Linked DNA regions of Kluyveromyces lactis. The main gene of each other region encodes a partner of the protein of the gene in region 2 in a complex. Links are inferred from orthologs where the notes say so. Each region holds a gene or a part of one and is shown on either strand. Other genes may lie near its edges.

Region 1 (4,770 bases), on a different chromosome or scaffold from region 2:
AACAATAGGTGACATTTTTTCTATTGCCAGTGGTAACCCAAAATCGTTATAAGTACGAAGATATCCGAGAGATGTTCCTACAATTACACGTTTAGGAGTACAGGCAATTGAAGTAACTCTTTCTTTGGAAAGTAAGGGAATCTTTTTAGTCCATGAATCTCCAGAGGGACTATGTGGCTTGTATTGAATTTGACCCATCTTCGACTGGCCCAATAGTATACCTTCATCGGTCAGTGAACAAAGGTCATATTTGAATAAATCGTCGAAATGATACTCACGGAATCGACTAACATCGAAAAAAGAGACCGTTATAGAATTGCTACCGCCTTCATTTCTTGTTGTCCATACATGACCTAGTTGGTTTATAGTAAGGTATCTTTTATCGCTATTCCCGAAAGGTGTCGCGCCTGTTGAAAATGGTCGGTATTGGAATTGAGCTGGTGGTTGGTAAATTCTGCGATGATTTACATGATTAGCTGTCAAAGAAGGAATTGATTGAACATGAGTTTTTGGTCTCTTATATTGTGCGGCCTCGCCATTATCATCCTCAATAAAATCATCTTCATTCTCGAAATTGTATGTACGCTTAGGTTCATGTTGATCCATTTCTGCATCTGTGAAAAGGTTGTCAGAGTTTATATCTTCACTAACCTCACCTTTGTCATCAGCTTTGTCGTTGTTTTCATATTTCGATCTTCTGTTATTATCATTCTTGGAAGGCTCGTAGAACTCAGGACCGTTGCTTGTTTGTTTAGATAAATCATCTATGTCACTATCGTCAAATAACTTTTCATCATCAGAGCCAACAAAAAGCTTACCACCGGTATTTGAATAAGCAACTGTAGTATTTACTGAAACAATGTCATTGAACGTGATAACATCGCCCGACCAAGTACCTGCTACCAAGCTAAGTTTGGTTCTCTGATCGTTTACTCTCCAAGACAAAGAAGTGATACTATACCTAAAGCTTTCGTGAACAAGCTGTGTACCAGTACTTAAATTCCAAATAAATAGATGAGAATTTTGGTTGGAATTACCGACTGCAGCGATTGTGTTTGAATGAATTTGGTCTATTGTAAGTGCGTCCCAGTTGTTAACGTGCACACTTGGCTTGAACGAGGTCACCAAATCATGATCTGATAATTTAAATAACTTAATGACACTATCTTTTGCTGGAATTGCATATTGGTCTCCTTTATTGGTCCATGCAACTCTAGTGCATGTTCTGTTATCTTCGCATAGCATAGGATCAAGTCCATCTATAGCGACTGAATCGGCGTTTTCAGTATTATTCTCAGTGTCCGCTGGTAGATCATCATTGAAGAATATCTTAGGTAGCTGATCATGCAATGTGTGGATTCTATTGGGTGTAGTAGAACTTAAAGAGTAGAATACAACGTTACCGTTACTGAGTGATACTGCTAGAATGTTATTTTGTTTGTTGTATGATAAACTAACCAGTTGTTCGTCCAAAGTTAATTTAACGTTTGAATTTCCCTCTTCTAATGCAACCAATGTCATTTCTAAATCATCCCCACCTACAACACATACTTTATCATCATGAACTAAGGCCAAATCACGCAATGGTAACGAGGATCTAAAGCATAACTTGTTCTTGTTTTCCAGTACATTGTACCAGTATAGGTCGCCATTGCGGGAAACAACATATAAACCATCAGCTGAATTTTGACTCAAAACAAATGCGCTTGGTTCTTCACAAATATCAATGATATCAGGTTCCTTCTCAAGATCAGTTAAATTAAGAACTTTCACCAATGCGTTCTTATTTAAAGTGAAAAGTCGAGAACTGTCACTACTCAACCGTGCCTGGGTGTTCCCACCAGCAACAAATACCCTATTTTCAGTTAGTTTAATTGCCATTGGATGTTTCTGGGTATGTCTGAAGGAAACTATTCACTAATATACTGAGAACTGAGCTTTTTTCAGTGCATCTTATAGATTTCAAGCAAGTTGTGTCTCATCTTCTACTTGTTAAATCACCAAGACGCGTTTTTTCTGTTAAAAATACACGTTAGCTAAGAAGACAGAAATGAAACACAGAACTAGCACCATCAAGTATTAGTTGACACTGTTATAGTAGTGACAGTGCAGTGCATGCAATTGCCACAAGGTAAGGATGAGGTATTGGACCAAAAGTATCTAAACATTCTTGATTATAGATTTACTTATCTTAAGGAAAATTAGTCACGTGATGCGCAGTAATCATATCACCCTTATTCATCTGTATTGCACCATCAGTTTAGTAAGTGTGTTCCGAAAACTACCCATTCAAACACATGTATCGGTCTTTGCCCTTGTTATATACATGTATTTTTCTAACTATCAATTCTATTCAGCGTTCAAGATATTTAAAGGTACGAATCGATCCTTATATTCGAACGATCATTACCAGAAAAACGGAACAAGAGCGAAAAGAGAGGGAAAGTACTGTGTGAAACTACTCTCACCCAGCGATGACCGACCTAAATGATGATTTGGATCTACCAGTAACTAAAGAACTAAGCAGAGAGTTAGTTTCCAATTTTGTACGGAAGAATGGCTGCTTAGATATAGATAAGCTATTACTTGAGAATAACTTCCAATACGTATCGTTAGACGAACTCTCATATGAAGTATCTGCCTTGAAGCAATCAATGGAACAAACTATACTGGATGAAATCAATGACAATTATCCCGAGTACATGGAAATATGTGACAGGTTTAATACTAGTGACAATAACGAGGTGTTGAATAAGTTAAAACAAGTCTTGAATGATCTACAACAGTTCAACAAGCAATTACTCCAACTTTGTGATTCCTCAGTGGCTGAAACTAGAGAAAAAACAGTAACAGCATTATCCTACCTAAAATCGCTTGATAACCTATTTGGTAAACTGGACGATATCACAAAGCTATCAGAATCGCTAAAGATATGCCAGCAACTTGTATCATCCTTACAGTCTATGGTGCAGCTGAATATCGACGACGAGCTTTCCTTCACAGTGGCAAAGCAGCTCTCTACTATACTAATACGTTGTGACTACAGATTTAGACATTTGGAAGACAATGATTCCACCCTAATTACTCGAATGAGAAACGACTTTAAAAGTATTCTCGAGACCGCAAAGCCTTTAATTAAACCCGTTCTCGAGAAGCAGAACCAGCAAACTCAAACCATAAAAACTTAAATATATGATAAATGCGAACCCAATTCAAATAAAGTGAGATTCCACCCCCTAGGTGGAAGCGAGTCTACGCTATGAGTATCCTTACGTAAATGTGTATAACATCTCTGACTTTGAGCCTCATCTCATCATAATGAACGATCTTGAATTTTTCAGTTCTTCACAACAAAAGCATCAACAAACATCACAACTAACATTAAATCTATAAGAACGAACTGACAATATAGCAGGGCCAGCGTACTAACAGAACACTGTGAATATCGATAAGGTTCAATTTTCTGTCATCAATTAGCCATGTTTGGTGCAGTGAATTCGGGAAATAGTTCAATGAACAATGGCGGCGGTTTATTTGGTAACAAACCTGCTGCTGGAAACACAGGGTTCCAGTTTGGCGGTCAACAACAACAACAACAGCCACAGCAGCAGCCTGGTGGTGCTGGTAGCTTGTTCGGACAGAATAACAACTCGATAGGTAATACATCAAACACTGGAGGAGGTCTGTTCGGAAGTACACAGCAACAGCAGAAACCTTCTACTGGGGGTTTGTTTGGCAACACGAACTCTGCCGCGGGAGGAACAGGCGGGTTGTTCGGCCAATCCAATCAGCAGAATAATACCAATACTGGGTTGTTCGGCAATGCAAACTCTACAGGAATACAGCAGAATAATACTGCCCCAACCAGTGGAGGTTTGTTTGGGTCCAAACCGGCAGGTGGATTGTTTAATAACACACAGCAGTCCACCACTGGTATCCAAGGAAATCCCACTGGAGGTGGATTGTTTGGTAATAATAATGCGAACACAGGAAGTTCGGGTGGACTGTTTGGTAATTCCGGAAATACAAATACCAGCGCTACTTCTGGAGGTCTTTTCGGTGGAAACAGAACTGGGGGCCAATCCACAGGCGGACTTTTTGGCAATAACACTTCTAATAGCGGCACTACTGGAGGACTATTTGGATCCAAGCCTGTTGCGCCAGCTACTACATCTCTCTTTGGCCAAAATCAAACACAATCACAGCAGCAACAGCAACAACAGGGCCAGCAAGGTCAACAACCAGGGGGGGCATCCTTGTTTGGTTCAACGCCATCTACTACAATGCAACCGTCATTTGCATGGTCTAACACACAACAACAAGTACAGCCCCAGCAACAGTTGCCGTCGGTTCAGCAACCACAACAACAGCTACAAATTCAGCAACAACAGCAACAGCAACAAATATCTAATTATCCGCAACAAATCCAAGAACAAATTCTAAAGTGTAAGGAATCATGGGTGCCAAGTGAGCAAAGATCAAAACTTAAGACGTTTGTTTACAATAAATGTACGGAAACTGAAGCTATGTTGTATAATAAACCATTATCAATCTCGCAGGATGATTGGGATCAAGCGCTCATGAGTAAACCTGGTAATAATACTATTCCAATTAGACTACTAGGTTTTCAGGATCTCAATGATCGTAATCAATTACAAAAGCAGCATGTTGCACAGGCTAGAGTTCTTTTGGGCCAAATTTTGGAAAAGCTAAATCAAGTTAACACTAAGCATGATTTAGATACTCAGTCAAGGATAGCAAAAGCTGTTT
Region 2 (5,316 bases):
TGGTAGAGGTAAGAGCATCTGCCATTGATAAAGCTCGCAGTTCGAAGAAAGTTGGTTTGATACTTGGCGCGTTAGGTAGACAAGGTAATCTAGCAACAGTTGAAAATCTCGAAACTAAGCTCAAGGCTTCCGGAAGGACTGTAGTAAAGATTATTCTCAGCGAGATTTTCCCACAAAAGCTTGCAATGTTTGATGATATCGATGCCTTTGTTCAAGTTGCCTGCCCAAGGTTGTCCATTGATTGGGGGTATGCTTTCAATAAACCATTACTAACACCGTACGAAACTAACGTGATGCTTGAAAACGACCGGATGTTCAATGAGAAATATTACCCGATGGATTATTATCATATTAACGGATATGGTAGAGGTAAGGTCCCAAACCATGACGACGTAACTATCTAAGTAAATGCATTAATTATATCGAATTACAATCTGGGACATCACATTTGTTTATTTAATTATTTATCTTCAACACCTAGTAGGGTGGAAACTTCGTTAGTCGTAAAGTTTAATGTCGACATTATCATTTCTTCGTCTTCCGGATATATTTTGTTCAAAACGCTTTTGAACACTTTATAGAATTTGATAAAATTTCCGAAACAGGTGGACACAATGTCCTCTTCAACCGCTGGTGGCATCAAATTGAATAATTTTACATCTTGAAAATCAGAAACTGCTAATGGAAGATAGGTGTTCAATTTTTCGTGGATATTGTCGTGAATAACTGCTAATTTCATGATTGGGTTCTCAACCGCCGAAAGATACATGTCGTAATCAAGCTCATCTTGCACAGAAATAATTGGGAAAATCATGTTGAAGAGATTAAAGTACAATTCCATACCCGTTGATTCGAACAGATAGCTATTCATTGTTTCCTTTAACTTGGTAACGCATAATGTATACTGCGTTTCCAGTTTCGAAAAGACGCTTTTGCCGTAATCAGATGAAAAAATGGTGCTGTGAAAGGGACCTAGTTTTGATTTCACGAGATCAAAACTATTAATCTGTACGATAAGTAAATCAATTCTGGCTGACTTTTCCTTTTTAGCTGTGGGGAACCAATTCTGCAAATTCAATACTAAGTTATTATTAATGGGGTCTAAAATCAGCTTATCATACAAATCATCTGTTAATATTCTTGTTTCGTTTTGCTGCTCCAATTTGTTCAAAAGTTGAGAAAGTTTGGACAAATAATCTACAAACCAGTCTGGTGGAAGTAGATCGGCAGCCGCAATTTGATTTTTATCCAAGTCCTTGAGATATGATGTAACACTTGAAACAATTTTGGATCTTGCGAGATTTTCCAGATCATTGAGACTAGTCATTAATTGACTGGATTCATTGATACCATTTTTTACGAGCATCATTTGGTATAAACTCAAACACTGAACGATGTCTAGATTTAGCATCGGGTTATTTTCAAATCGGACAATTTGTTCTAACCTTATTCTGATTGTATTCGCCAATGAGGTAAATATTTCGTTGAGAAGCTTCAGGTGCAAGTCACCAATGAAATCCATATTATCTTTCAAAACTGAGTCGGACGTTACTAATTCTGACTTTAGCTTGAAAGTTGATTTCAAAAATTCTAGTTCGTTAACAATCATGGAGTGCACGTAAGCTAGGACATCACCAAGATATCTGACAGGGTCATGGGCCGATAGTATAATAGGTCTTTGTAACTTTTTATTATCTATATCAAATTGAGACAAAAAGTCGTCTAATAACCTTTTAGACCTTAACCCCACAATTCTGTTCAAGAAATCTTGAAAGAATTGAACGTCATTTGATAAATGAATCAAGCTCGTTTGGAAGTTAGAGAGAGATTCATCGCCAATAGTACGTTCGCCGTACTGCCTTGATAAAGTATCATATTCTTCAATGAAGTTTATGAGATAATTATATATCCGTTTGTTCGATACCGTTAAATTATTATTCATCGTTTTTAATAGTGCCACGCCAGCAGATGTGGTCTTCTCATTGGAGAGTAGATATGTTGCTTTTTCTTTGATAAAGTTGATTTTATTCAGAATCTGAAAGAAGAGGTCATTAATTGTTCCATTCTGTAAATGATCCAGTTCTAATTGCGTTAAAGTCAAGGAATCCCTTAATTTAATTATTACCTGACGTCTTGCCTTCAATTGATCAAGTCTATCTTTGACATGTTCGAATTCAAAATCTATGGATTCCGTTGTATCTTTAAAATTCTGCATAGCATTGTTAATTCTTTCCAAGGGTCCAGAAAGTCTTTTGATTCTTCTTGCAATAGACTGAAAGTTACTCAAAATATCCGAATGGGAGTTGAGCATTGAATTCTCAAGCTTTGAGCGAAGTGATTTTCTGTTTAAAGTTCCAACGAAATCAGAGGCAACCAGTTGGTTGAAGTTAAGTCCCAAATCAGAGTGATTTGCATCAAGGATTTGAAGAGCTCGTTTTGTTTCTGAATCAGATGTGTAACTCGCATAATTGGGAACATTCAATAAGCTGTTAATCTTCTTGGATAAAAGTTGGTTTGTAGTTGTAGGTTTCTCGATGTTATTTGATATAGGAGCTGCGACCTCCTTCGATAAAGAGACGGACGCAGGGCGTATTTCACCGAGGGAAATGCTGGCAAAATGTTTCATCTTGCTGTGAAGATCGGTAAACTCGGTGTCATGCTTGCTGACATTCGGTAGAACGAATTTGGCCTCTTGTTCATCGTCATTCAATCTCAAGCTTGCCAACGAAAGACGTGACGCTGGTTGAGGTAATGCAGCAGACTCGTCCACTACCAGTGCCGGAAAATCTAGAAAGTCCATTACAGATATGAGATCTGCTATTTATAATTGAGTGCAATGATTAGTTAGTATGTCAGAATCCTGATTTCGCGAGTAGTTTAATGTCTCTTTAATACAATTTGTATGACTTTCTATTTCGAAAAATGAAAGATTTAGGTTTTTCGTATTTATTGAATCGGTTTATATATGGTATGTGTGTAATTGAGTATTGTACAATTCAAAACATAAACAAAGTAAAGATTATTATTGTTTGAATCTACCACCAGTGGAGACTACGTACCTAATTAAAATAAGGGACAATAAGCATCTATAGTATGAATGAAAAAAAGTGAGGTATTCTTCAATATCAGAACCTGGTTCTAACAAAGAATAGAATAAAGTAATTTAAGTTGAAAAGGCCACTGTCACGATAAGGTCAGCCTTGTTGAAAACAATGCGTGCGCCGTTTTTCGTTCATGATATTCTTGATTTGAATATTATCTTTTTGGGTCATCTAAGTATGAGTTTCTTATATCATCAAACAAATACTGTATTGGCGGTAAAGTGACATCAGAAGATTTTCTTCTTTCTTCAGCAGCTGGATTCTGCTGAACTATTCCGGTCCATGATTGCGAACGATAGTGACGATTTTGCAGATGGATTTGAGGAACAATCGACGGGTGTCTATATTCATTCCAGGAAGATCTGCGAGAAATATTTAGAAGATCTTGAGCAGTATTCAAGCTATCTCTTTCATCGCTAGTGAGAGTTGAGATGGAATTTGTTGACTTTGGAGAGATTGAAGCAGTGAGGGACGGCGAAATTTCTGTTCTTTGTGAATACCAGTATTCACATTTCTCAGGAAAATCGGGACCAAACAATGGGACTAGTAGATATCTCAAGGGGTAGCAAAATCTCGAACACAACTCTTTAGAAACAGGATATGGCAACCAAGTCCCTTGAATCTTGATATATCCTCCTCTAATTCTCTTCACCATACGTTCAAAGGGAATTTTTGCATCATAGGATTGACCCAATAGCGTTGATAATGTAGGGTTCAACTTATGCCAATGCAAATCGATATAAGTTGAGAAGGATTCTCTTTGAAACCATTTGTTCCATTTTTGTTGGGAGTCTTTTTTACTTGGTTTGTCCAGTTTACCGTATATGACTTGGAACAAGACTTTCTGCAATTCTTTACAACAATGGATGCGGGCAGATTGGTCTTGTTGATATTGTCTATTCGTGGTGCATAAGCATTTCATGATATCTTGGTACAATCTCCAAATACCAGTGAAAAACACATACCCCGTTTCACAATTCCAAATTATGCAATTGTTTGGATTTATGATCAGTGTTTGGTTAATCTTGGCGTTCAATTTAATCATTCTAAATTCTTGATTTTTTGTAATGTTAGAACCTGGTTTATTGGACAGGTTTATAGCAGTCCTCAACTCACGGTCAGAAGAAGATAAATCATCAGGAAAACATGGTTGGTTTGGATCAGTGTCTTCTTGTTCGTCTTCTAATGAAAGAATGTTGTATGGAGTTAATTGCAAATACGGCTGAAAATGAGGGTCAAAAGTCCGTTGTGTCACCGGGTTTCTTGATATATCCGGAATGATATATTCGTTACAAATTAAACTGGTAGATTTTTTCAACTTTCCCAGGCTGCCCGACTTATTACGATGATTCTGTCGCCTTTCGTTGGTATATTTTCCATTATTCTCTTGGCCCAAGGTATGAGATCCTTCCTCATTTATATCACCACTGGATTGCGATTCGAATGATTCAAAAACTGTATTTGTCTTGTATTCCTTCCGGTCGATAGATAACTGTGACTTCAAAGCATGGGGAAATTGCGCCAAACTGGGTCGCATTAGTTCATACACTTCTACAAATAGATATCTTTGGTAATCATCCAACGGATCTGGAGACAACTGAAATGTAGTTCCATCGGTTGGGTATACCCCATATTGATCATTCCCAACAACAGATGGCATGGTGCAATTGTCTATCGAAAGTTGATTATATCAATCGCACCCAGGGCAAGCTAGAAACAAAATATAATTAGGTTGTGGTCAGAACACTAAAGAATCGCAGAAACCAAAAATTAATCTGACAAGGTCAAATTGCAGTCAGTTGTCGTGTCTTTTTTTTTATATTTGATAGTCCTTTATTCACTGTCAATAACACTCTCCAGAAATATAATAGCTGTCTGAAGTGGTAATGATTTTGAGATGAGACAAAAAAAATTCAATATGAAAATAAGGATCCAAGACACTCAATGTGAAAATTAGGGGGATGGTCAATATTGAATATCTGTTTTCCTTCAGATGCCGAATGGTATCACGAAATACCGACAAAAAAAAGGTTGCACTTCACAACTATAGGGATCGGTAGAAAATCTCGAGATTGTGGAACGGCTTTTTCTTAAAAAAAAATTTTCCTGCGTATTTGCCTGAAAAAGAATACGTCCCGTAATTGGATAGGTGCGGCCTTGCGGAGTATTTTTCTCGTCTGTACTTCCTACGTTTGCAATGGTTTAGTCACGAAGC
Region 3 (4,862 bases), on a different chromosome or scaffold from region 2:
AACTTAGAGTGCTTGCAAGATCTTCCCCTGAGGATAAACGAATTTTGGTTGAAACTTTGAAAAAAATGGGCGAAGTTGTTGCTGTTACTGGTGATGGTACAAACGATGCCCCTGCTCTAAAGTTGGCCGATGTCGGATTTTCAATGGGTATATCTGGTACAGAAGTGGCCAGAGAAGCATCTGATATTATCTTAATGACAGATGATTTCACCGCTATTGTTAATGCAATTAAGTGGGGTAGATGTGTTTCTGTGTCCATAAAGAAGTTCATCCAATTCCAGCTTACCGTTAACATTACAGCAGTTATCTTAACATTTGTTTCTGCTGTCGCCTCGGCAGAAGAAACTTCTGTGTTGACTGCAGTTCAGTTGTTGTGGGTCAATTTGATTATGGACACTTTGGCTGCCTTAGCTCTTGCAACGGATAAGCCTGACGAGTTTATCTTAGATAGAAAGCCAAAGGGCAGAGATGCTCCCTTAATTGCTGTATCGACATGGAAAATGATTCTGGGTCAAGCTGCTCTACAGCTTACTGTGACATTTGTACTACATTTCCGTGGTAAAGAAATATTCTTCCCAAATAAGAGAACAATCACTGCACATGAACAGGAACAGCTTAACGCAATGACTTTTAACACTTTTGTCTGGTTACAATTTTTCAAGTTGATTGTCACAAGAAAACTTGATGAAGCTGATGGTATCTCAAAGTTCAAGGACAGGTTAACAGCAAACAACTTGAACTTTTTCCAGCATTTGTTCAGAAATTACTACTTCATCTGTATTGCCTTGTTGATCGGAGGGTTCCAGATCTTAATCATGTTTGTTGGTGGTGCCGCCTTTTCTATTGCTAGACAAACTCCTGCTATGTGGGCAACAGCTATAATTTGCGGTCTTATATCACTTCCCGTTGGTCTGTTCATTAGAGCTTGCCCAGATGAATGGGCCTTAGCAATCTTCCCAAGAAGGTTAGTACGTGCAATCTTGTATGTCTTTGGGCTGGAGTTCATCTTCAAAAGAAATAAAAACAAAAAGCAGCATGATGAGGACGAGGAAGCATCACTTTTGGTTGAATATGCCAATGACTCTAGCTTAGTGGAATCTACGGCTTTTCAGCGGGCCAAATCTGATATGATCAGCCATAAGGTGCATCCACCTACTTCGGAGCCCTCTAAATACAATCCTATCACAGCAATCAACAGATGGAGAAGCTCAAGTGGTGATGAAAATGAATCAGAAGAAGAACATTCATTCATCGCCTCAGTGACTATGGTACCCACTTTAGTTGGTGGTGCTGTTGGTGGTTTTTCTCATATTACGGGACCTAATGAAAATAAGAAACAATAATTCTGCTGAGACCTGAATTATTGCGTAAAGATACGTTTCAAAGGGCTATAATATAATGGCATAACGCTGAATCAGTTTTCGGCTAAGTATTACATCTATTACATACTATATGTGTATCCTTTAAAGACATCGTATTTTCATTCTGAAGATGAGTATTGCTTTGCTTTTGATGTAATGAATTATTCAATCGTTCAACGATCACAATTATATAGAACAACTTTCGCGGTCACATATAAAAATCATAACTCATCTAGTGTATCCTTACTATTTAGATAATTATCCTTCTCCTTCTGAATAGCTTGTGCAAATTCTGTGTATGGGATATAGAACTTTTGAAGTCCCTTCAAAACAGTTTTCAACTCGATAAATGCGTCTATCTTCTTCAACAAATCGGTTGCATCGTTCTGAGGTTTCTTTAATGTAATGATAATGGTCTCCTGTAACGTCAATAATGCAAGTTTAAAGTCATCTAACGAAATATGCTGTAGTTTTTCTTGATCATCTTGGATTGAAATATCCATTATGGTCTTTAATAGATCAAATGATCTCTTAACAGTTACCAGATGCTCTTTAGCTGCTGTAAGCTTTGATAAGGTTTCAGTTACCTCATTACTGTCTTCATATTTAGAATTCAGCTCTTCTAATTGTTTATCAATAGCTTTAACGTCTGTCTCTAATAAGTTCACACTATTCGCTAGAGTATCCAAATAATACTCTAGTTTTGTTGTTCCTTGCTGTTCCTCATTTGCTGCGTATATAATAAGTTCAGCAGGCTTCTGAAGCACCTGAATAGTGGACTCAAGTTCTTTTGTAATATGCCCACTGTAATAGTCCATTTTTGAAAGTAGACTAGAGCAATTGGTCTTCAATTCTTCTAATTGGCTTGTCTGGAAAGATGATAACAATATGTCGACGAATGCTTGAGGTACAAAATCATCATCGAAAAACATGTCTAGCAAAGGGTCATTAGCACCAGATATCCTTCTACTCATCGTGTAGGAAATTATAGTGCTATATCGTCCTTCAAAGGTGATTTGGTGGCTTACTTGGGTGTTTCATGATCATCATATTTAGAGGTAGAAGGTTAACTTCTTCATTTTGATGTTAAGATTTCAAGATGATTTTTGGTGCCTTCAGATGCACAGTAAGAAAGGTTTAAAAGAGAAGGATACAATATCAAAGCAGATATTACTATACACATTGATGAGAGCAACGTATGGATAATTTATTGGACTATATATGGGTATAATTCTATTTACAATTCTATTGCTTCTCTTTTAGACTGGACGACAAATCAGTATTTCAATAGCATACCATTTTTTCCGACGCACCAAACATTTTGATGTGATTCATCAACACAGAAATCAGTCACTTCATCATAAGGACGAATTAGATGTGTAAGCTTATTGAAATTGAATTTCCCGTCCAAAACAGGTACATTGAAAGCAAATTGGACCCCACTAGAAACGTTCAACGTGTTATGTGCCAAGAATAATCTTGAGATAGAATCATTATCATTTACCTGGAGCGTCTCCACCGGTTTGGAAACGTTACGAGTATCCCATGATACTATCGTACCATCCGAATAGCCAGCAAATAGGTAATGGTCATCACCTGCAATGTGCTGGCTCGTTAGAGTGACACATGCAGATTTACTTGCCGGTAAAATATCCAATATCTTCTTTCTGTTATAGATATCATGAAACGTGATGATACCAGAGTCGTGTCCAGCAAATACAGCTTTCCCCTCAGTATTGTATTCGTTGCTATGGTCCAATGCATTGTACGATGTGGTCGCTGGATTTCCCTGGTAATTGGCCAATGAAATACAATTTATGCCATCGTTTGAATTGAGCGTAAAGACACATGCTGAAGTTGAGCATTCCCATAGTTTTAATGATCCATCCGAACTTGCAGAGACGAAGTTTCTACCTCTATCGACCATGGCAAAATCGTTGACTGACCGAGTATGACCTATGAAAGTTCTGAGCTCAGTACCGGTTGAAGCATCCCAAATCTTCAAGCGCATATCGATACTACTGCTTAAGAATCCATGGCCGTTAGGGAAAAATTGGGTCTTGGTGATGTGACTAGCGTGCGCTTCCGGTAACTTTATCACTTCTTGTAATGGACCGCTATAATTGGTACCGGTGTTCTTCCGTAGCACATATATGCCACCATTCGTATCACCACAAACCAAACGTATCTCGGGGTCAAACACGTTCGTGATATCTATACTTGTTAAATCAACAGCTCCAATATCAGAAGGCAGTTGGAACCGTTTTTTCGGACTTTGAAACGAAGCTAAATGTCCTGCTGTCGCATCAGGTCCTGTCAATTCATATAAATGTGGCCTTACCCTTTGAAAGGAAATTTTATCAGAAGTATTCGCATTATGAAACCCAACATTACCCCTGGAATCTAACCGTACATCAAATTCCAAATCGTATAATGGCTCACCACTGCTCCTGGATACCCATATCTTATCGCTGGCAACCTTTTCTCCTCTCACATCATCAAGAATATCATCAAACTCACTGCAAATGTTCCATTCCTCAACTCTCATTATATTTAACTAAGGGAAAATAACAGGAAGGTATACAGTAAAACGGGCAAATTGTTTGGACAGTTGATATCCACAGGAAACCTGCTGACATTATTGCTCAAAATCCATAAATCAGAAATCCACTGCTGGTGTTTAAGTTGTTCATCATCAATGAAGGTAATACGTACCTGATGCTCAAAAAACCCAAAGTCACGTGAATAACCACCTGAAAGATAGTCATGTGATACTCACGTGTAAGACGCGTAAACGCGAAAGCAATTTCCTCGATTTTATCCCTTTTATTTTGGTTCAACGAAAAATTTTCGAATTTCCGCAGAGTATATAAAGGCGAACTGTAAATAAACAACGCCATCTCAGGGTCAGTTATAGATTAGCTACAGGTGAAACCCAGGCCAAGTCGAGTCAAGTAACGGATTTGTTCTGCTATTTGTCTTTAAAATAGGTAGAAGAAGATGGGTGTTCAACTATTGGAAGGTGATTTATTGGATATTTTCCGTATTCCGGAGAGGTACAACAATCCTACCGGCGGTATTTACCAGGTTGTTCAAACCAAGAAGACTGAGACTAATGCTAAAAAGAATTTGATTCTCATCAACGATGGAAAATACCATGTCAAGGCTCTTTTGAGGAACAAAGCTGCAGAGGCGGCTCAACAGGCAGAATTAGAAAGAGGGGATGTTTTCAAAGTGTTGAACGCGGAATGCGCAGTGATCAAAGAGAAGAAGAAGTTTGTGTTGTTAGTAGATGAGATAGAGATTGTTAGCCGTGGGTTAGATTTGTTTAATAATGCTACAGAATTTGTCGATGCTTATTTGGGTGAACATATGAATGAGTTGGTGACTTTGACTGATAACGGGGCCGTAGCATCCGAGGCTGCATCGGCAGCTGCGTCTGCTACATCGTCTATGACTTCTAAGATGGCTCCTACCAGTACCAGCAACATTCCAGCCCCA

Evidence for each region.
Region 1: COG6 (region 2) and COG2 share a complex: the UniProt entries of both Saccharomyces cerevisiae proteins name them as parts of the conserved oligomeric Golgi (COG or Sec34/Sec35) complex. The link is inferred for Kluyveromyces lactis from reciprocal best matches to the Saccharomyces cerevisiae genes COG6 and COG2.
Region 3: COG6 (region 2) and COG7 share a complex: the UniProt entries of both Saccharomyces cerevisiae proteins name them as parts of the conserved oligomeric Golgi (COG or Sec34/Sec35) complex. The link is inferred for Kluyveromyces lactis from reciprocal best matches to the Saccharomyces cerevisiae genes COG6 and COG7.

What each region holds. Positions count from the first base shown.
Region 1 is NC_006038.1:973,778-978,547, forward strand, and holds COG2 (Golgi transport complex subunit COG2), read left to right. Parts: upstream 1-2,474; coding exon 2,475-3,188; downstream 3,189-4,770. Other genes in the region: chromatin-binding protein CTF4, read right to left, coding at 1-1,881; FG-nucleoporin NUP57, read left to right, coding at 3,480-4,770. UniProt on the Saccharomyces cerevisiae protein: Acts as a component of the peripheral membrane COG complex that is involved in intra-Golgi protein trafficking.
Region 2 is NC_006042.1:375,455-380,770, forward strand, and holds COG6 (Golgi transport complex subunit COG6), read right to left. Parts: upstream 2,801-5,316; coding exon 461-2,800; downstream 1-460. Other genes in the region: DPH1 (2-(3-amino-3-carboxypropyl)histidine synthase), read left to right, coding at 1-404; XBP1 (Xbp1p), read right to left, coding at 3,256-4,761. UniProt on the Saccharomyces cerevisiae protein: Acts as a component of the peripheral membrane COG complex that is involved in intra-Golgi protein trafficking.
Region 3 is NC_006037.1:776,007-780,868, reverse strand, and holds COG7 (Golgi transport complex subunit COG7), read right to left. Parts: upstream 2,336-4,862; coding exon 1,583-2,335; downstream 1-1,582. Other genes in the region: calcium-transporting ATPase PMC1, read left to right, coding at 1-1,343; RPN14 (Rpn14p), read right to left, coding at 2,638-3,909; replication factor A subunit protein RFA1, read left to right, coding at 4,362-4,862. UniProt on the Saccharomyces cerevisiae protein: Acts as a component of the peripheral membrane COG complex that is involved in intra-Golgi protein trafficking.